4 linked regions of the Saccharomyces cerevisiae S288C genome follow. The gene in region 1 interacts genetically with each later gene. Each region holds a gene or a part of one and is shown in the gene's direction. Other genes may lie near its edges. The genes, in order: ZNF1, ICS2, SNA3 and YEL025C.

Evidence for each region.
Region 2: mutations in ZNF1 (region 1) and ICS2 together harm fitness more than expected from each alone (negative genetic interaction), as found in Saccharomyces cerevisiae (one large-scale study listed by BioGRID).
Region 3: mutations in ZNF1 (region 1) and SNA3 together harm fitness more than expected from each alone (negative genetic interaction), as found in Saccharomyces cerevisiae (2 studies listed by BioGRID).
Region 4: mutations in ZNF1 (region 1) and YEL025C together harm fitness more than expected from each alone (negative genetic interaction), as found in Saccharomyces cerevisiae (one large-scale study listed by BioGRID).

The regions. Positions count from the first base shown.
Region 1 is NC_001138.5:25,625-31,287, forward strand, and holds ZNF1 (DNA-binding domain containing protein), read left to right. Parts: upstream 1-2,607; coding exon 2,608-4,005; downstream 4,006-5,663. Other genes in the region: YFL051C (uncharacterized protein), read right to left, coding at 4,434-4,916. UniProt on the Saccharomyces cerevisiae protein: Transcription factor that regulates respiratory growth and plays a critical role in stress adaptation during non-fermentative growth.
Region 2 is NC_001134.8:551,616-556,734, reverse strand, and holds ICS2 (Ics2p), read left to right. Parts: upstream 1-2,424; coding exon 2,425-3,192; downstream 3,193-5,119. Other genes in the region: AMN1 (Amn1p), read right to left, coding at 1-186; SLI15 (Sli15p), read left to right, coding at 3,535-5,119.
Region 3 is NC_001142.9:134,989-139,601, reverse strand, and holds SNA3 (Sna3p), read left to right. Parts: upstream 1-2,828; coding exon 2,829-3,230; downstream 3,231-4,613. Other genes in the region: SCF ubiquitin ligase complex subunit DAS1, read right to left, coding at 232-2,223; inositol-3-phosphate synthase INO1, read left to right, coding at 3,669-4,613.
Region 4 is NC_001137.3:101,789-109,910, reverse strand, and holds YEL025C (uncharacterized protein), read left to right. Parts: upstream 1-3,763; coding exon 3,764-7,330; downstream 7,331-8,122. Other genes in the region: YEL023C (uncharacterized protein), read left to right, coding at 1-1,407; ubiquinol--cytochrome-c reductase catalytic subunit RIP1, read right to left, coding at 2,004-2,651; RNA binding protein SNU13, read right to left, coding at 7,588-7,968.

The DNA.
Region 1 (5,663 bases):
GCACATTCTCTGATACTATGAACAAGTTCTAGGATAGCAATCTAAGTTTTATGATTCTCTTATTTCGGATTCGATTTCAATAAAGATCGTAGTATTAGAAGTATAGAATGTATTGTAATTTTTTTTCCTAATCTTATTAATTCATGGAAGGCATTGAACTCAACAGCATATTTTAAATGTTTGTATCTTGTTTTCTCTTTCAAAAAAAAAATGGTGTCATTCATTATTTTATGGTCAACCCTATACATCAATTTTTCTCTGAAAATATTGACAAATAAAGTAGTTGATTCTTGTTCTACCAATTAGTGATATTATGCATGACTGTTAACAACTTTTTGACTAATCTCTGAAATCATATGAAGATCTTGCTGCATTTCATGCATCTAAGAAATCAACCTATATCAACAGATTTCAATAATTACTCTAAACTTATGCTGTAACTTAGAAAGTAACCAGCCTGTGTTGACTGATTGAGTTGCGTATTAACTGCGCCTAGTCATTTCAACACTTATAATTTGCTTCAGCTTAAGTGTGGTTCATCTTTTTTTTTCTGGAAACTTTGCATGCCCTCAAAGCATGAGTAGTTAGTTATCTTTTTGACAATGATCTCTTTTGAAAATATCTACTGTAGATTTGCATGGACGCACGTCGCCCATACGCCAAACTTTGGCAATGATACTCGTTATTCGTAATATCAGTCCGTCAAGGTGCTGTGATTTCTCTATTTTATATTGCCTATTATTTTTTCAAATGATTTGAGCCGTTTTAAATTGAGTATGCAATGAGTCTTTTGAATCAACCGTAAGGCAGTTCCATAACCACTGCCACGAATACGTTTCACTACCTTGAAGAATCTCTAATGTAGGCCGTATTCTTCGCACTTAGTTCTGACGATGTAGACATCTCATTATATAAGAGCATAAGCGCCTGTTTCTAGAATCATTTCTTCGTGACCCAGCTTTTTGAGTTATTTCGCGGTATTTTGAAACATTTCTCGAGCTTGACGTGAACATCCTTATATTTCATGACAAACTCGATCATTGGAACATCCCTGCCTCGATTTTAGAGCTAGTATCAAATTTCAATCTCTTTGTGATGGAGCCCCGCTCCTATTTCAAAAGAGAAGTTTCTTGTATGCATATGTTATTGAAGTCTGATTATAGCAAGTGCAATGTCGTCTCAATTATTTTAACTATTTTTAGCCATACATGTTAGTTATCCTCAAAGAGAGCCTCCAGACTGGGAAGCAGTGTTTGTCATTTCAAATAAGTAGATTTCACAGTTTGTATGATTTTCGAAGCCAGGATTCATTGGGCTTTGAGTAAAGAGAAGCCGCGTATTACGAACAGCTTACGATATTGTAAAATATTCCCTTATTGTGGTGCCCCAATGGATACATGCCAGAGAAATGTCTGTGAAATTGAACAATTACAATGACGAGAGCAAGTAATCCGGCGGCCTTGTCTCTCTTTCACTAGTACCGTCTATATCTCTTGAGCGCCAATATGCGAAAGCTTTCACAAGGTTGATGTTCATGGTATTCGGCGTCGATAGCGAATTGCTTACTAAGAAACATTAGGGTGCAGTACAGCCTTGTTTTTCCAGTTCGACTAACCTTTTTCTTGGCAGTATGGAGACTGACTAGGTCTCCCAAACATTCATTGTAACTGCTGTTTAAAGATTTTGTTCTAACCTAAATTCAAGTGAGAAGCTGAACATGTGTCTCTACTTATGATATCACGACAGCAAATACTAATCTTGCCATAAATAGTCTAGCGTTTTGCAACTTACCTCTAGATATATTTTATTTCTTGAGGAACCGTTTTCGTCGGTAATAACAAAATACTACTGAAACGCCACAGCATTGAGAGAATACGTTATCGATTACGGCTTTCTTCTCGCTCCAGATGTCGCGGGTAAGATATTCACCTCAAACTTTTCTTGTTGAGTGTCGTCACAAATCTAGAACCTACATGCCATCTCAACGATTTTTCTGGAGAAAGGCCTCACTCCGTTCCGTACGTAATGCATAGATAAAGTATCAGGATCTTCACGATGCTCGAGAGTTACTTAGTAGTCTGAGTTTATGCGAAAAAAACTCCGCCGTTGTAATAATCGGGAATACACAGAAGTAGTACTGCACTATCACTGGGATACTCAAAAACCTTCTTTTTAACTTTTCTATCCCACAAATAGAACATAGGAAAGAACATTGACTCCTCCACTTGAAGTTAAATTACAGGAACAAACGCCTAACTATAATTTCGACATTGTTGCATCAACGAATCGACCGAAAGAAAAATCTGGAGTTGCAGTTATCACTTGTATGTGCACTAAGATTTATATTTTTACTCCTGAGATCTGCCAAATCGGTAGCTTATTGAACTGCGTTCCTTTTTCCCCTGAGTTCTCGAGGTACCTGCGGCTTTGTCTGTGCCATCTCCCCCACTTTAAAGTACCCCACGTTACTACCGCGTTTTTCCCCACCCCCGGCTTAATAAATTAGCTATATCTTGTTGACTTAAATACGGAGAAAAGAAGAAAACCTTCAAGAAATGCTTCATTGTCTTGTCAAAAGAGCTAAAGTAAAAGAGCTCTAGTTCGAAGATGGCCCGCAATAGACAAGCGTGCGACTGTTGTTGCATTCGTCGAGTAAAGTGTGATCGTAAAAAACCATGTAAATGTTGTCTTCAACACAATCTGCAATGTACATATCTTCGACCTTTGAAGAAAAGAGGTCCAAAACCCGTCAAGGTGAGAAATTTAAAGAAAGTAGATGATGTACAGGTATTTAGTAAAAGTAGTAGTGGTGGCATAATGAAGGTTCCAAAGGCACTAATTGATCAGTGTCTGCGGCTCTATAATGATAAGTTGTATGTGATCTGGCCTTTGCTGTGTTATGATGATCTTTACGAACTTTTAGAGAAAAGATATGACGAAACCTGTGTGTATTGGTTCCTGGTATCTCTTTCTGCCGCCACGCTTAGCGATTTGCAGACTGAAATTGAGTCGGAAGGAGGGGTTACCTTTACTGGGATACAGTTATCCAGTTTCTGCATGTCATCACGCCAAGAATTTGACGATTTTAACGGTAGTGATATATTCAAGATTATGACGTACTATTGTCTAAACCGCTGCTACGCACAGATGTCCAACTCAAGAACTTCGTATCGGCTTTCTTGTGAAGCCGTGGGGCTCATTAAGTTGGCGGGGTTCCATCGCGAGGAAACTTTGAAACTTCTTCCTTTCGATGAGCAGCAGCTTGGAAGGAAAGTTTATTATTTGCTTCTCTTAACGGAAAGATACTTTTCTGTGTATACGCATTGCGCCACGAGCCTGGATACCACGATTGCTCCACCACAACCGGAGAACGTAACGGACCCCCGACTATCTCTCGACAGCTTCTTGGAGATGATTAGGGTATTTACTGTACCGGGAAAATGCTTCTTTGATGCTCTAGCTACCGACTCTGCTAATGTAACCTGTACTGAAGACTCCCTTAAAAAGATATGGAGGGAACTTCATACGGTGCCACTTGAGATAGAACCATGGTCTTACGGCTATGTAGACATATCTTTTTCACGGCATTGGATTAGAACACTTGCTTGGAAGCTAGTGCTTCAAATAAGCGGTATGCGAATCAGTTTCCTTTCAAATAGCAAGAATACGCATATTCCAGTAGAAATTGCTAGAGACATGTTAGAAGACACATTTTTAATCCCAAAAAATCTTTATGCAGTTCACGGTCCAGGGATATCAGTGAAAGCACTAGAAATAGCCGACGCATTGGTAGATGTTGTGAATCAGTACGATCAAAATGCAGAGTCGGAGGCTTGGAATTTTTTGTTCGATATATCCAAATTTGTCTTCTCTCTTAAGCATTGTGATAGCACATTAGTTGATAAGTTTACGACAAAGTGTCAGTGTGCGCTTATCACGCTTCCTCTTTCTAATCCGCTTGAATCGACAGATGGTTCTAAAGAAGATGTAGATGCGCTTCCTTAAGTAAACACATTGCTACTTGCATTTTACCTTTCAAGATGTAGTGATTACGGACAGTTGAAGAGGCTAATAGCATCTATTTCTTCTTTAGTATATGGTTCCTGCAGGGCAAACAATTATTTCCTTTGCAATTTTGCGGCAGTGGGGAAGAATGATAGCACTAATAGTGAACTTGTGGACAATTATGCTATTATAGCAAGAAAAAAAATTTATTTTTTTTTCAAGGGGGGTGATTGTGATGTGAATTAAATCAAGGATATACGCTTTTATCGTCATGATAGTCGTGCGATTTGTACTTGGTTATAGATGAAATGAGTTAGTTTTTAATAATTGTGATCACAATATAGCTGTACTTATCAGGCCATTAAAGTTTCCTGTAAGGTGCACGAGAAGTCATGGTCATAAAATTATCAGAATCTCCAAGGAGAGGTTCAACGGCGTCGGTTGCCCATACTCCATATTAAGTACCCTGTCATTTCCACAGTTACATTAGTTGGAGTAGTATAGAAACCAAAAAGATCAGAACTCCAATAGGCAGTATTTGGGTCACAGTATTCAGTGTCACGTTTTTTAGTTTCATAAAGAGGTCCGCAAGGATCATATCCATCCTCATCACGCTTCAAAACTGCATAAGTCACACAGGTAGGAGTGCTCTCACAAGGCGGACTATAGTATATGGAGAGATTGGTCTGTCCGCTAACGGAACCTAACTTCTTTGTATTGGAGTATTCATAGCCCATATATTCAGGCTCCAAGTATGTGGTTTGGTCGCCTATTGTGTACTCATAAAAATTAATATTCATACCATCTTCCCTTTTGTTTGTTGGTAAGCAAGCTTCTGTACTGGCTAAGGTTGTAGTAGCTAGCGCCACGAAGACCAAGAGTGCCGAAAATACGGAATGGGGTATAGACATTTGAAGGTGTGGAGGGATGCTGGTATCCTCCAATTGTTACATTAAGATTATCATCTGGCTATCATGAAATGAAGGTTACCTTTATATAAGAAAGACTTTTAAAAAAATGTTTTGTTTTCTGCTTTAGGGAAGTAGATATCGTTCCTGCATTTTGATATCAAAATAATCTCCGGTAGGCATCAATTGCAGTTAAAGCTCTTTCTGGCAAAAACCCCGATACCCATGTAGGTACGCTCTTTTCACCAGGTCTTAATAATTTGATGGGCACCGTTTATCCCAGGCAAGCCAAAAATTAGAAACAAAAAACAACTCACGTACGTTAAAAAACCTGATAGTGCTTCGTACTACATAGAACCCTGCGCTGTTATCTGCTAATCGAGCACTACTAAATTCCCTCCAAAGGAAGTAGAGTATAGATTCTATGCACCGATGTGAAAATAGTAAACCTACGATAACCTTTTTTTTTTTACTAACCGAATTGAGCAGATATTGTTACCTGTTACGGTCATAAAAGTTAAACGATTTTGCTTTATTTCTGTCCCTGGCTGAAAATAGTAAAGAAGAGGGAAGGCAAGTTCAAGGGCAGCTTAATAAGTCATACGAAAACGTTCTCGAACTTTTTTTCTGCAAGCTTTTCAGAACCACGATGGAAAAAAGAAATTTTTACAACACTAATGCCAAGTAAGGTTTTTCGGATTTAGGGTGGCGTCCTGAAAAAAAAAGAAACGTCTCAGAACGTTTCGGAGA
Region 2 (5,119 bases), on another chromosome or scaffold:
ACTACTTTGATGAAGATGACCTCCATACTTCCTTACAATATCTTTGAAAGGCTTCTCCATTTTAAGAGATGTGAAAGATGGACTAGGTGACATTTTTTTCAGCGGTCTAGTACACGGAGATTCAAGTGACTGGATATCTCTACCTCTTTTGAAGGAGCCATTGCTGCTTACGCGTTCTAGTTTCATTTAATGGGTACTTTACTAACAGAAAAGGAAAATGATAAATTATCAAACGAAGGGAATTATTAGTTCTAAGTGAAAGGAATGGATGGATATTAAACCAAAAAGGGATATTAAACCAAATTCAAAGAATAAAAGGAAAAGACAGGTATAAGTTCTAGAAGAAATAAACAGAGAAAAAAATGATATGATAAATAAGTTATTTTTGTACAGTTAACACATATAGTTTTAAAACTTTTTGAACGTTTTTGTTAGTTCCCTTGGGCCTTAATTCCGTACTTTAAAGTGTGAAGAGTATAGTCTATAGGACCCTTATAAAGAAGGGTTGCTATATATATATATATCCACAACTATACTCCCTTTCTTTCGTATATCTGAAGGTATCCTACTACTTGAAACAAACTTGAAGAATGGTTACTGAACAAAGGACAAGCATAAACACTCCAAGGCAAGGCGATACAAAAAACACCAGCAGGAATAAGATGATTGATGAGACATCCTAAGTCCAATAGAAGAAACAAGCGAGAAATAGCGGAACCAGGAAACCGAAGTTGAAGGAAATTCTTTCTTTCAATTAAGCTTTTTGTTACCATTTAGGAAACTTCCACGGTGTCATAATTGTGTTTTGTTTGTTTACTTCTGCAAGTTAATGAAAATCCTGGCGGACGACAGCCAGTAATGGCCGGAGAGTGCTTTATTTTGCCCAGCAAAAAAATTTTGCGAGTGTAACAAAGAGCGCGAGAGCAGACTACCACTAAGAAAAGCTTCGGGCAATGCGCAGCAAAAAATAGAAAAAAATGAGCAAAAAAGAGAAACATATTTTAACATGGTCTCCGTGCCTTCGGCGTACCCAGACAATTACGGTTAACACCCACAACGTCAAACAAGATAATATGTTCCACGCTTCGGACTAGAAAGTGACATATCACATGTATGGTAGTATCGTAGGTATAACATCCTTCCGCCATCAAACCCTTGTGGCCTATGAGTGCCTATGCAGGTAATTGCTCCAATAAAGATTAAGCAATTTTTTATCCCATAATTAATTGTCGCCAACCCAACCGAACCAATCCTTTACAATTTTTCACCTTACGCCATAACAAAAATGAGACAACCCCGCCACCTACTACTGATGCAATTATTAACACGTTTTCATCCGTTTATATTTCTCTCCGGCCGTTCAGCACCGGCTTGACCAGCCGGTGCTGAGGACAAGAAAAACACAGCGAAAAAAGGTGGGAGAACGAAGCTTCCGCAATTCTCACACACCAAAAAATGAGTTACCGGCCGTCTCTTCTTTTGCCCCTCGCATATAATGGGATTGCGAACGGAGAACGACAGCAATATAACAAGCGTACGTGATCCCTTTCATTCTGTTATATTCGAGAATAGTTGTTGACAGTGGAGATAACTCCGAAAATATCATGAAAAAGAGGGTTATTTCCGTTCGTCGGGACATTGCTGTAGAGCTCTTCAATGGCCACAACTTGGGAGCGTTAATATGCAATCAAGTTGTAGGGAAGATTATATCTCTCCAGGGATTATTACCTGGGACACAGAGCTCTTTTCCTTATCTCATCTCACGCATCTAGACCCTGCTAGCCGTCGTTTCTTATTTGAAGCGTTAATCACCCTCACTTTTCGTCCGTAGCACGTAAAAAAGAAAAATAGGGTACCGTTTACCTGTCGTTAATATGCAAGTCATTAACAATCCAGCCCAGTACTTTATTTGCTATGGCACGGCATAGGCGCAGGGAGTTCACGATTTGGTCATCAATGATTATCACGATATGGGGGTCCTTATGATCTTGATGTTCTTTCAACTGCTCTTTGTTTCTTTTTTTTTTGTACGACAGTTTATGTGTTAAAGAACACATCCACTCCAATTTTGGGTCGTTTATACTTTTGTTTCGCTAATCTTAAGCCAACCTTGAGTTTATACCTAATTATATGCCACGTTAATGCACAAAACCCCTCGTAATAAACTTTCCTTGGAAGACTTTCTTTTTCTATTCGACGCATTTGGTTACATATCTGTTGGGAAAGAGCCCTTCGACTGCAAGTCCGGCATCAAGAAAGCTTGACATCCAAAGAAGCATTTAAGTATAAATAAATGAGACCCATTCTATCTTCTCAAATAAATCTTTTACAAATATGTGAACGTCAAAGCGCATACTTAATAAAAATTTATACTCTACACCACCTTCGTTATTACTTCACTGAAGTTTCCCTTTCCAGCAAGATATGGGCAAATTTGAGCAAAAAGAAAGAGAAAGAATAAGCACATTTAGTTTTCCTACTACGGGCAGTCAATCTAGTACATCCATTAAATCACTTGGCAGCCCACTCTATGGACGTTTCAGCTCTCTCTCTTCAACAGAATCTCAGTTCGATAGCAGCAAACAACCCCATGAGTACGAAAAGAGCTTTTATTTTGAAGAGTCTCAAGGCGAAGCTCTGTTCAACAAGCTGAAGACCTACTCTTTCCCTGGAGACAAGGATGGTGTGAAAACGAGGAGAAATTCCTCCATATGTCCAAGAAAGCCTAATGCGGTATCACCTTTAAGGGTAGAAAGTAATGAATTATCATCACATTCGCATTCACGTTCATTATCACACGAACTTACAAAGCCTTCAGGGCGAAGGAAAAGTTACCACAGAAAAAGTCATGCAATCTCATTCAGCAGGTCTTGTAAGCCAAATTTCATTGACGGGTACGATTCTAATTCAAGCATAGGCGTCAATTCAAGAAAAACTTCATTGGCAAGTTCTTTCTTGGACAAAGAATATCATTCTTCACCGGATACTTCATATACCCACCAAATGTCCCCGAAAAACACAATCATGAATACCAATGAACAATTAAGAAGAAACGCAAGCGGTAGATTCGGGAGTTTGAAAGAATTCGCTGAAAAAAATCAGATAAATATTGAGGGCAAAATTTTTGCTCATAAAGTGGAAACTGGAGACATATTGCAACCACTAATTGACTTAGATATTGACAATAAATGACTGGATCATTTGTCTCGCATTTTTTTTTTTCGTTTGTTTTGATAAATAAAGGACTTAATGTTAGTTTTGATAATGTTAAATGAATATATAAAAATAAACCATGTAAAGAGTATTTTGTTACGCTGTTTCGTTATAGCGTTATGTCAGTGTTATTATTTCTTATACGCGGAAAAGCCTGATCCATTCTGTTCTGAAACCGATCTTCATATTTTAAATTTCGCGAATTAACTAAAAAAAGAAAACAAACAAAAACTCGTTTCAAGTATTGCCAATGATACAAACAAAACGTTTCAAAGTATCTCCTCAACTGACGGACTTTGAAAGAGCCCGAAGATTTAAACAATGGACTGGGCAATCAAAGCAGCTAGGAAGAAAACTCAAAGGAAGCCAGGCTCTACCCGTTCAATCATAGAAACCCTCGATGATCTAAATAATCTAACAACAGATGCACATTCAGAAATAAATCAACGATTGTACGAAAGTAGTGAATGGTTAAGAAATAATGTTTATATGAATACACTCAAGTATGAAGACAAAAAGATGGAAGAGTCTTTAATTAGCCCCGAAAATACGCATAACAAAATGGATGTCGAATTTCCTAAAATGAAAGGAGAATATGAACTTTCTAACTCCCAGAATGATGCCGCAAAAGACGTTACTAAGACACCCAGAAATGGATTACATAACGATAAAAGTATCACGCCTAAATCACTCCGCAGGAAGGAAGTCACCGAAGGAATGAATAGATTTAGTATACATGATACCAATAAAAGCCCGGTTGAGCCATTGAATAGCGTTAAAGTCGACGCCAATGAAAGCGAAAAATCCTCACCATGGTCACCTTACAAAGTTGAAAAGGTTCTAAGAGAATCCTCCAAGACTTCGGAGTCTCCGATTAATACAAAACGCTTCGATAATCAAACATGGGCGGCTAAGGAAGAAATGGAGAATGAACCTATACTTCAAGCTTTAAAGAAAGCTGAATCAGTAAAGGTGAAACCACCACCGAATTCTGGGATAGCGAGATCTCAAAGAAGGTCGAATATGTTTGTTCCACTGCCGAATAAAGATCCTCTTATTATTCAACACATTCCACCAACAAAATCTTCAGGATCAATACCAAAAGTACGAACAGTAAAGGAATCACCAATCGCATTTAAAAAAAAATCTACGATAAATAGTCCTGCTATAAGAGCTGTGGAAAACAGTGATACCGCGGGATCTACAAAAGCATCCAGTGTTTTCGATAGGCTATCATCTATTCCAACAAAATCATTTGAAAACAAAATTTCCCGTGGAAACGTTGGTCACAAATACTCCTCTTCATCAATCGATTTAACAGGCTCCCCCATGAAAAAAGTTTCTCAAAAGTTTAAGTCAATAAACTCCACGGATACTGATATGCAAGAAGCGTTAAGAGATATATTCTCAGTAAAAAATAAAATAACCAAAAATAATTCACCCAAAGGAAAAAACTCTCGAAAATCCTCTATTCCGAGGTTTGATAAGACTTCTTTGAAGCTAACGACACACAAAAAGCTAGCAATCATTGCAGAACAGAAAAAGAAGTCCAAACACTCTAGTGATGTTCATAAAACTGGTTCAAGACCGCACAGTATTTCTCCAACAAAAATAAGTGTCGATTCAAGCTCGCCATCTAAAGAAGTTAAAAATTATTACCAAAGCCCTGTAAGAGGTTATTTGAGACCAACAAAAGCGTCTATTTCGCCTAATAAAAATAAAAATTTAACAACGTCGCAAACGCCACATCGTTTGAAAATTAAAGAGAAAACATTAAGAAAACTTTCTCCGAATATTGCTGACATCTCCAAGCCAGAGTCTCGTAAATCCAAAAATTATCGGCTTACAAACCTTCAATTACTTCCACCAGCAGAGGCAGAACGAGATGACTTAAAAAAAAAGTTTG
Region 3 (4,613 bases), on another chromosome or scaffold:
CTCTTCTTTAGAGACCTTCCTAGGATGTCTGAGTGATCGTATACTGTAGTATCTTGTGTTTACTTTATCAAACCAGCTTACCAACATTGGAATAGTTGGTTGATTTTTTTCTAGCATCCGAATGGATCTTGTATTTCCTTAATATGAAGTAGACCAGTAATCTGAATCCTGCTAGCTTAAAAAATGCGTTGAATATATATTATTAAATATATATATTTGAAGGGGAGTTGATTACATAACAGTGGCTATTCTTGCAATGGTATCAGAATTATTATTGTTGTTGTTGCTGTCGTTCTCCAGATTCTTGTTCGATTCCTTTGACCATCCATACAGATTACTCTTATAATCATAATGATAAAAGACGGGTTCAAAAATACGTTCATTATTCTCCTCCATAACTATTGTGGGAATGTCATTCAACATCAAGAATCTCAAATGAGGAAAACTTTTCAAAAAAGTAACGTAAATCGACTTGAAGTGATGGATAAGAGCGTGATAACACATAATAATATCTCTTTTGGTCAATGATTCATGAGGAAGTTCCAGGTCAGTGGAAATTGTAGCTGCTGTGTCATCACTACTTGGAGGAATGGCCGCATTAATTTCATCATCATCATCATCGTCATCGATTATTATCATTTCGGGCTCGCTCATATGAGCGGTTGATGTGGAAGTCACGGTGGAGTGTTGATGTGGGTTATTAACGATTTTGGGCACCAACTGGGATTTAGAATTTCTATATTCCAAAAGGTTGCGGTTCATCTTGGTCACAAAATTAGTCAAATTCATTGGTTGTGTTCTAACGCTCGGATAAGCATCACAAGCTTTAGAGTATGGTAACAAAGATAGGTATTTCATCATTTTAAAAATATCCTTTGCAGCAATGTCTTGAAGATCGTGAATATAGTAGTCTTCAGGGAACATGAATATTTTGCCCTTCAGAATGTCACTGAATACTATTTGACAGTTTGTGCAGTTGCATTGCTGATTTAGTTGGAACTTATTTTCTTGAATATTGATGATTTGTGGGATAAGACCGTCGTATCTCAGATCTATGAATTGCAATTTGGAGCAAGCTAAAAGAATGGAGAGAAATATGTGAGGATTTGTGGGTTCAGGTACATACTCCTCTAAGAAATCCATTTTTAGTCTTTTCAAATTGGTTAACGAACTAAAAAGATCTACGAGGATATGAACATCCTGCTTAATAGAAATCAAAGACAAATCTTCCAGGTTCTCAAATTCTTTAAAATCTTTCAGCATTTCTGTCTCGCGTTTTAACAAAGTGTCATTCCAAGAAATGATGGTAAGAATTTTCAATGTCCTCTTGTCAAAAACCTCCGATAGTTTAGTCAGAGGATTGCCGGGTCGTATCTTTTTAACAAAATAATCATTATTGTAAAACTCCCTCCTCCAATGCAATTTTAAATCGATGATTTGTAACTTGATATCTAAAGGGTAAAGATAATTGAACAGTTTTAAAGGGTCGATGAATAAAGTCATATGAGAAAGCCGAGAAGAGATACGCTGTGAAAGATATTTGGTGAGATTCGGAATGTAATTTTCGGGAACAACCATCTCAGGCAATGAATTTGGAGGAGCCATGTCGAAACTTGAGACGTTGCTCCTGGAAAAGTGACCATTGGAGATGATATCGTTACAAGCCGGGTCAGTGACGTTTTCTAGTCTTTGCAAGGACTTGCCCTGATTGCAAAGGATGCTGAGAATGGACCTTTGCAAGGTAGAGTCCAAATCCCAGTTGATCCTTATCCACTGGATGACTTCAGTAATGTGAATATTATTTTGCAGTGTTTCTATAAGTTTTTTCAATTTGCAGTTGGCGATATCGCGGGACTCCTCTTCTTTCAACGAAGACGGCAAGTTCAGTAGGGTCCAATTAATTGCGAGATGCATGAAGTCACTCTTCACTACATTTGAGTCGTTCAAATATATTCTTCTATAAAGCAGTTTGGTAGCGATCTTATTCAACCTTTTGTTCACAAGGCAAAGCTGCAAGCGGTCTGGTTGCGGCAAATGAGAGAATACTTCTTGCATGAGCTCATCGGGGAGCTTTGTTAGCGGGAACACGTAGTTTTTGCTCTTGGCGGCGAAATTTATGTTAATATCGTTAATATCTCGTAGCGCTGAAGCATCTGCGTTACTTTTATTGTTTCTGTTAATGAACGCTGCTTTTTTCTTCTGAAAATAATCTTGAAATGGCATGATATGAATATAAGCTGAGTTGTAAACACTGTGTATAGACGTCCTGGATATTTTGCACGGAAATCAGATCTCCATCGAAATCTACAATTCGCTTATAATCTATATATATTCCTCTTTGTGTGGGACGATAAAGTAGGGTAATACTTGCAATGAGAAAGAATACTCTGGTGAACAGGTGCATTTTGAGAGGGAAATAGGAACTAAGAAAAACAAGTAGAGGAAAAGGGGTGTAGTGCAGTGCAGTAAAGCGTTGCATTGATCGTATCTTGATAGATATACCGGTATATTACTGAACGTTTACATTCACCCTACAACATTTATAAATCTTATATATTATACATGCAAACTCGTATTTGTGAAGTGGGCATATAGTTTTTCGCTATGTATATAGCGGATGAGTGCGTTGGGATTACTATTTCTTTAATGCACGTGATGAAGGCTCGTTTTCTTTTTTTTTTTTTTTTTTTCTTTTTGGGAACGGGGGAAAAGGTCTCACTAGTATATAAAGGAAAGAGAGTACAGCACGAATGAGCCAGCTGCAGGAAAGGGGCTAGGTTAAAAAATAAAAACCCAGCAGAAAGCAAACAACCAAATATAATTTAGAAATGGACAGAGACCATATTAATGACCATGACCATCGAATGAGCTATTCCATCAACAAGGACGACTTGTTGTTAATGGTTTTGGCGGTTTTCATTCCCCCAGTGGCCGTCTGGAAGCGTAAGGGTATGTTCAACAGGGATACACTATTGAACTTACTTCTCTTCCTACTGTTATTCTTCCCAGCAATCATTCACGCTTGCTACGTTGTATATGAAACGAGTAGTGAACGTTCGTACGATCTTTCACGCAGACATGCGACTGCGCCCGCCGTAGACCGTGACCTGGAAGCTCACCCTGCAGAGGAATCTCAAGCACAGCCTCCAGCATATGATGAAGACGATGAGGCCGGTGCCGATGTGCCCTTGATGGACAACAAACAACAGCTCTCTTCCGGCCGTACTTAGTGATCGGAACGAGCTCTTTATCACCGTAGTTCTAAATAACACATAGAGTAAATTATTGCCTTTTTCTTCGTTCCTTTTGTTCTTCACGTCCTTTTTATGAAATACGTGCCGGTGTTCCGGGGTTGGATGCGGAATCGAAAGTGTTGAATGTGAAATATGCGGAGGCCAAGTATGCGCTTCGGCGGCTAAATGCGGCATGTGAAAAGTATTGTCTATTTTATCTTCATCCTTCTTTCCCAGAATATTGAACTTATTTAATTCACATGGAGCAGAGAAAGCGCACCTCTGCGTTGGCGGCAATGTTAATTTGAGACGTATATAAATTGGAGCTTTCGTCACCTTTTTTTGGCTTGTTCTGTTGTCGGGTTCCTAATGTTAGTTTTATCCTTGATTTATTCTGTTTCATTCCCTTTTTTTTCCAGTGAAAAAGAAGTAACAATGACAGAAGATAATATTGCTCCAATCACCTCCGTTAAAGTAGTTACCGACAAGTGCACGTACAAGGACAACGAGCTGCTCACCAAGTACAGCTACGAAAATGCTGTAGTTACGAAGACAGCTAGTGGCCGCTTCGATGTAACGCCCACTGTTCAAGACTACGTGTTCAAACTTGACTTGAAAAAGCCGGAAAAACTAGGAATTATGCTCATTGGGTTAGGTGGCAACAATGGCTCCACTTTAGTGGCCTCGGTATTGGCGAATAAGCACAATGTGGAGTTTCAAACTAAGGAAGGCGTTAAGCAACCAAACTACTTCGGCTCCATGACTCAATGTTCTACCTTGAAACTGGGTATCGATGCGGAGGGGAATGACGTTTATGCTCCTTTTAACTCTCTGTTGCCCATGGTTAGCCCAAACGACTTTGTCGTCTCTGGTTGGGACATCAATAACGCAGATCTATACGAAGCTATGCAGAGAAGTCAAGTTCTCGAATATGATCTGCAACAACGCTTGAAGGCGAAGATGTCCTTGGTGAAGCCTCTTCCTTCCATTTACTACCCTGATTTCATTGCAGCTAATCAAGATGAGAGAGCCAATAACTGCATCAATTTGGATGAAAAAGGCAACGTAACCACGAGGGGTAAGTGGACCCATCTGCAACGCATCAGACGCGATATCCAGAATTTCAAAGAAGAAAACGCCCTTGATAAAGTAATCGTTCTTTGGACTGCAAATACTGAGAGGTACGTAGAAGTATCTCCTGGTGTTAATGACACCATGGAAAACCTCTTGCAGTCTATTAAGAATGACCATGAAGAGATTGCTCCTTCCACGATCTTTGCAGCAGCATCTATCTTGGAAGGTGTCCCCTATATTAATGGTTCACCGCAGAATACTTTTGTTCCCGGCTTGGTTCAGCTGGCTGAGCATGAGGGTACATTC
Region 4 (8,122 bases), on another chromosome or scaffold:
GTTGGAATATTAAGGGACAGGTTGTTTCCTTGCACCCAGAGAAGCAATATCGTTGAGCATGTTCGACATTGCGTATCCTTGGATGAAAGACGTGGAAAATTCAAGCAGTTATGTTTCACTCCGATGCCGTACATTCCGAAACTATTTTCATTGACATATTGTAATCATATAACTGACCAGTGTTCGCCGGTGCCAACTTCTAATGCATTAATGCGTGATCTAACCCCGGAAAATCCTTTGATAAAATACACTTTAAAAAGTGGCGCACATTCTATTAGTAATCCTTCTCCACTCATTCCTGATAACCCTGGAAGGTTGTTATCGAGCAAAAGCGAGGAAACTACAGAGTTGCTGTTGGACCTGAACTCATTCTTAGAAGGTAATTCATACGCGAGAGATACAGAATGTTCAACAAGAGGAATTGAAGCCATTTTCCAACTTCAATCTATCCAAGGCAGCGGTACATCAAGTAGAATGACTATGACACCCGACTTGATTGAAAAATGGTTTCCAGGTGATCATTCTGACGTTGGTGGAGGTTGGGCGCCTGACTGTGAGACAGAAGAGAACTTGTCAAATTTAACGCTGCGATGGATTTTAGCAGAGGCAATCAAATTTGGTGTTAAATTCAAACCTGGTGCAATACATGATTTCGCTACCAAACACACTTCGATTGGATCTTTATTCGCAGACACACATGATTACCTTAGTTTCAACTCACCAAAGAAATGTTCCCTACTAGGAGTGAGTGATAATGAGGATGGAGCCCGAGAGGATAAATCTGGCAGAAATGAGAGAATGGAAGATTGTCTAAAAAATATAAAAGAGACTAGATTGAGCTTGAAAGATGAAAAAGAAAAAGTGAAGGATGCTTTTACTCTTAAATGTGGACATGCAAATAAATTTATGAGATTGGTGTGGTGGGTATTGGAACTGCTCCCCATTGGAATACGAATGGAAAATAAAGAAGGAAAGTGGCAAAATTTTCATACACCTAACCTCGGAAGATCTCGTTATGTACCCGAATATGTCAGTTTACATTGGTCAGTCTATTGGAGAATTAAGTTTGATCGTAGGTATAGACCGGACAATATGCCGGAATATGTAAGGCAATTGTTCCAAGATTTGGAAGGTATTGATTTAAAAAGTAATAAAGTTTCAAATAAATATGATAAGCAAGATAATAGCAACGGGAGTGAAATCAATGGGGGCTTTTTTGATAATGAGGAAGGGCAGGAACTCCACATGGGTCAAAAAGCAAGTTATTTTGCAACGACATACAATTCAAGATTATTTGACAGTAAATACTCCCAATTAAAAAAGAAATTCATGGACTGGGATAGTAATTCCTGGACAGATATTCCAGATGATTTAAAAATATACCTACAGCAAGATGAATCGCTTTAGCATTAAAAAAACCCCTTCGGTACGTAATATAAAAAATTTTATAGGTAATATACATATATAAAAATACTTCAATCATTTTTACAATCTTGTATACTTTATACAACATGTGAAATCTTCTGCTTCTGGACATCAATATTCAAATACAGGCCAATCTTAGGTAAAACATTTGGAGAAAAGAAGGATAAGGCAGGACGAGGGAAGATAAATAGTTTCGTTAATTATAAATACATGCAGATAAATAAAGGAATATCAAATATTATGAATAGAAAAAGAAGATGGTGAGACAAAAAAGTAGTAATAAATAGGTCCAAATCTTCTTTATTTCCCCTTTCTTTTCTTATCCTTTTGTTTTCTCCATATTGTATAAGAATATATTCTTAGGAAAATCAACAGGGAATACAGTATAGTGATTTTCGTTCCTTTTTGAGCGTAATCCCTTCGAGACTGTGATGTTGATTATTTTTGTTGTGATTTCAAAATTCTTAGGTTAGTTGTATAGTTCCCGTTCATAACATAATGGATAGTAAATGAAAAATCAAAATAAGGGTGAAACAAATAGACAATAAAGATGTAGTTTTCGAGGACGAAAAACAAACCTAACCAACAATGACCTTATCACCATCGAATTCATAAGCAGGAATTTCTAAGTTTAAGGGGGCAGGTCCCTTTCTGATTCTACCGGAAATATCATAATGTGAACCATGGCAAGGACAGAACCAACCACCAAAATCACCGGCTTCACCAATTGGAACACAACCTAAGTGAGTACAAATACCCAGCATAATTAACCATTGAGGGTCTTTGACTCTGTCAGCATCGGTCTGTGGGTCCTTCAAAGCGGACATATCCACACTGTTGGCTTCCTGAATTTCATGAGGAGTTCTGTGTCTAATGAACACAGGCTTACCTTGCCATTTGACAACCACGTTTTTACCCAATGGGATAGCCGCTAAATTAACTTCAACTTTAGCCATAGCCAAAACATCGGCAGTAGCGGTCATAGATGAAATAAAGGTTTCTACGGTTGATTTGGCACCTGCAGATGACAAAAGACCCATAGCACCGACCATAAAGTAAGCATAAGAACGGCCTTTATCAGCATCGTTATTTTCCTTTAAAACGTCATCAAAATTTGGGGTCCTGTACGTGGATTTGCTAGCCAGCAAAGATTGAGAAATCAGTCTTTTGGAAGTTAAAGACATTGGCTTGAAGCAGGTCTTGACAGATGATCTTATTCCTAACATGTTTGTTATTGCTCCTTTCGGTTTCCTAATAAGTGTTAGAGTGATATTATTTATGTTCAATAATTTCTTGGTTTTTAAAAGACGTTGAACTTGAAAGCAACAAAAAGTTACGACAGAGAAGTAATATATTACTTGATATTCAAGAACCAACTATAGTTCTTGCAGGTCTTTTTCCAGTCCTTATAAGGGAGCCTCCGCGTCGCCGCACGTGACCCAAGACCGATAAATGGCGCAAAACGCTGATTGGTCCGTTATGGAGTGTCTAAAAGGAAAAAGATGCGCTATGGACGAACCTGAAAGAGGCCAAATGATAGGGAAGCTTAGAGTGAAAGGTGGAACAGGAGAAGTTGAAAGGATGAAATACACAAGATGACAAGAAGGCTCGAATTAAAGGCGGCTAGTTATTTCAATTTAGGAAGCATTTGCTCTAAGAGTCGATGGGTCGTACTTCATGCACATTATATTACGCATGAATAGCCGCCCAAGCTATATGAACTTATTGGTGGATTTTTGAAACCAATAAAAAGGATTTATGAGAAAGAATAATCTTCCTCTGGGGTATTCATAGCTATCAACGTATGGTTACCTTGTCTTAGTCGGACACTGGACATAACTCTTACAATGGCTGTTAGCTTCTCAATTGACAATGGTATTTAATATACCAGGCGGTTAAAGAAAGGGTAGGTATTTTTTTCTACCTAGTTCAGTTTATATGGATGAGACAGGGATAGACGGGCATGTACGGAGTTTTTCGACTTGATCAGTGCAATCCACTGATTATCGTTTTATGTAGGTATTTTCTTGAGTTACAAAATTTTAGGGAAAGTATGGATACAACCAGAGAGCCGATGTGGTGTTTTTTTTGGTTTTTAGTACATGCAGTACGCTTCTTTTTCTATTTCCTGTATACTTCCTTTAAGCGTATTCGTCGTTATAGGTTCTATTTGCTTTCAACTGAACGCGCTTGCCTGAACGCCTAAAGCGGAAAGAAATACATGACTGAAAAACAGACATTCTGGTCGCAACTCAGCGAAAGGGAGGGTAGAAAAATATATTGTGTTATAATGTCAGCGTTAGCGCATTGCATATTGCACTAGCCATTGCCACGTAAAATGGCAAGACAAGATGAAACGGACTGCAAAAAATTGGATAGCAATTCGGCCTTTTTACCTTTATGCATAACATCTTATAGATCAAAAGATGAGGCTGAGAAGCTGGTAAGTTGTCTTCATCACGAAGGAAGTTACTTTTTATGTTTTAGCTATGGATTGTATACCGGAACGTCCAACGAATTGAAAGCGAAGGTTGAGTTCGCTTTAGATGGACCGTTCGTTGTTAACTACGCAACTGTACCGATGTTCATGTCAGCTTCCTTCTGTCACCTGCTAATGTTTAACGACGGTTCCATTAAGGGATTCAAATGCGAAAATAACAAATTTGAAATTATCTACGACTCTAATGTGGCTCCGAAACTGGATACTATTTCTTTATTAACTTCCAGCTGGTTAAATGCTTCCTTTGAGGGTGTTTTATACACTTGCAATAAAAACATATCATATGATAGTGATTTGCATACGTTATGTACGACAATTTACTCCTTTGACTTCAGAGAAGGAATAGTCGAAAGATTTTATGCCACCGATGGCGAAGAAATTATCTCCTTTGATTTTATTAGCAGGGAGGATTTGCTTGACGACGCCACATGCACAGGTAAATCACACGTTTATTTTCTTTGCCTACTTAAGAGTTGCTATAGTGAAAACCTGTTTTTAAAGGAATACAATCTTGCTGGAAAGCATGGAAGTAGGAAATTTGATTTAAACGAGTACCGCCAATACAATCTTTTGCCGATATGTGATAATGAATTTTGTTATATGAAGGTAGTTTGCGGCCATACCATTGTAGTGTTGACTACTAACTACACTCAAATAATAAATATAAAAGCAAGTGGGCTTACAAACGGGGCTTTTTTCAATAATAAAGGTCTCCCAAATGTAGAAAACTACCAATTTCTAAAAGATTCTTATGATGTGATATATGAAAGATCAGTCATTCTCTTGACAATTTCTGACGTGTATGCTAACAAATACACTGCCAAGATACACACTAGGTCGTTACATAGAGACCACGTCCTGAAAGAACTACAATGGACAAAAGAAAGAGTGTTCAAGCCTCCTAAACATGATCTATGCGATGTTATTTTGCAGCTCCCACGTGAAAAGTATATAGCGGTGACAAGAATAAATGGAGTAAATTTTATATCGAAAGATCATCGAGGTTCAAAATTAGAAAAGGTGAAAAGCGGTCCCGCTTATACAAACAAAGTTTACCTGGCATCACAAGTTATTGGAAACAAGGGGACAGATATTGATTCACTGCTTTTGGGTGGAAGTTTTAACTCAAGAAGAGGATTTTTAGAAAAGAAAATTTTGGTATATGACAAAACCCTGTTCAAGTTAGTGACTTCCTCCAAAGCGCTAGTAGAGAATGTAACTGATTTTTGGGTTACAGATTTAGCACTTAATGGTGGTGACGAATTTGCATATGAATCAGGTGGGTTGATTTATAAGAACGGAATATTTTTAATGGATGAGCCTTATGATTACGGTCTATTTGTTTCTAGGACGGGAAAAGTTTTGAAAGCCGGTATGGATGGTTCTACCGGAGAATTTAGGCAGGTCGATTTCTTGCAGTCGAACCACAACTCTTCCACCATGTTTTGTTATCCCGTACAGAACTCCAAGCTCAGGATTTCGATACTTGAGGCAAAATCTGGTTTTCTACGTAAAAAAGAAGAATTTTTTATCCATGGGCTCAATTCTAAAGAGAGTATTGTGAGCTGTTTCTCAGATGGTGCCGAGAAATACCTTTTTGTCATTTACTTGGACGGTGTGTTTTCGGTATGGAATGCCAATCAAAAGAAAGTGGCTACATCACATCCAGACTATTCTTTCATAGCCTATGATCAATTGATAAAAATATCTTGGCTAAGCAAAAAGCATAAACACGACTCGATTTATGTCATCGCATCATCATACACTGGCTGCGTAAGAGTCTACAAATCAGAATCAAATTTTTTGAGAGTGGATTTAGAGATTCATTCGTTATACGATCAGAAATTAGAACTGTTGGATACGATTCCTTCCTTACCTTTGGTTTTCCTTTACAACGATAAGGAAATAATTTTGTTAAATCTTCAAAACATGTCTTATGGTTGCATACAGTTAGGCTTAGTTCCAAGACGAATGAGAATTCGACCCGGTAAAGCACTGTTCTCTCTTTGTGTTTTAGATTATGATTCTCGAATAAGCATCTTTGAGTTTGGTAGCACGTTTTACCGTGAAGGTTTCACTAAGCAGATGACTTCATTAAAACCTCAATTAGAAAATCATATCTTTTACCTCCCTAGCATTCCCGTAGAGCTCTATACTGTTCCAAATAACCTCAATCAGGCCGTGGTGTGTTTGGTCGATAGCAATAGTAGGCAGTATAAGTTGATGCTATTCAATTATGCTTCAATGAAGGCAGTTTCCACATTCAGTTTCTCGGATGAAAAGTATTTACATGCCGTTGTGAAGCCACTGTGGCCAGAACAAAACTCAATCTACTTATCACAGAGACCCTTTTATGGTAATAAGTTTGTTGTATGCTTAGGAGTTGGTGAAAAACGTACAAAATTCTGGCTGTTTGAAATTAGAAACAATAACATTACCCAATTGTACGCGAATTATCTCGAAGATTGTATATTCTCGGTGTTCATATACTATGAGTGCAACTTGGTTTTATTTTCTGGTGATAGTGGCATAGCAGCATATAAAATAAACATGCTAAAAGAGGGCGCGGAAATTTTAGAGGCCTATTCCTTCCCAGCACTTTCATCGATTAACCATATAGGTCTTCCAGCTTATATGAGTGGTGATTATCTGGTTCAATTTGAGATCTTGAGAGATTTTTTGAGAACCCGCTTTCCAATTAGGACGTCCATAGTATATCCATCAGAGTACCCTGAATGTCCCTACTTGGGTTTTAAGCGGTTGGGAAGCATTACACAAGTGGCGACTAAAATAATTCCTAAGAAGCTAAGAGAACCTAAAAACGATTGTTTAGCGAGTGATAAGAACTATCTATTAGGTCGATTATCAGACCTTTCTTGTGCAACGTTGAAATATTCCAATAGATCTTATGTTGCCACCATTGGTATTGATAATACCTTGACAATATACGAAGATTCTAAATTATCAGTTGATAAGGGCGGGTTGGCTATGCCATACCTCAAAATTCGGTTACCTAATAAGATAATCTCACTGGCGGCCATCCCAGATGGATTTCAAAACCTTCAAATATGTCCAAATTTCAATAGTCAAAGGTTGGAAGGCGTCATACCTCTATTTTTACTTTGCGGTACTGAGGGCCAAATTTATATAATATCGGAATTCATTGGTGAGCTGTGGATGAGAACGTTGCATGATTACAAAAAGATCAAGCTCGAATGTAAAAGAGCTTTTCGAAGGTCTGAGAAAAGCATGCGAAATGTTACTAAACAATATTCCGTGAGTAAAGAGACTGGAATAAATGAAAGCGGCTTTGATGAGCTAGCTAGAAATTCAAAGAGAAGACATATAGATCATTCACCATACAAGACCATAGATTTTTTCGATCCTGTAAAACTAAAAAGGTGACAATAAATCTCCTACGAACGAATAGGTGCCATGAGATCTTGCACCTTTTTGTTATGCCTAAATTACTACAGCTCAATTGATAATACATGTTTGTGCATTTACAGATGCACTCGAGTAGGTTATTCAATGAAGATATGACATATATCATACCACTAACAAAACAGCACTATTAGCGTCTGCACTAGTGGAAAGCAAAAAACTTTTTTATAGTATATAGATGGTACAAAAACTATGTTGATAGATATAATCCAATCTACTTAAATTAATAAAGTTTCAATCTTGTCCTTGACAGCGTAGATTTGGGTCTTGATAGCAGAAGCATCGTTGGTGGTAATAGAAGCAGCAATAACTGGTCTAGAAACACCACAAGCTCTACCTAAAGCAACTCTAGATGGAACAAAGACATATGGAACATTCTTGTCTTCACATAGTAATGGTAAATGCAATAGGATTTCAATAGGTTCACAGTCAGCAGCCATAATGATGAATTCGGAGATACCACGGTTCAAAGTTTTGGTAGCTTCGTTGGCACCTTTCTTCAATTGTCTCAAGTTAGCAGCCTGTTGAACGACATCCAAGATTTGTTGGGTTAATGCAGCATCGGCTAATGGGAAAGCCTTTGGGTTTGGGGCAGACATTTTTAATATAGTTTTTATAGTATGAAATCTGGTTTATTCAAGTTCCTTGCAATAATCAGTATGGTCCTGGTATAGAAAGCTCGCTCGAATGATGATTTAAATTAAGATTTGAAAGTAGGACTTGAACACTAAGAGGAATAAGCACTATTAACCA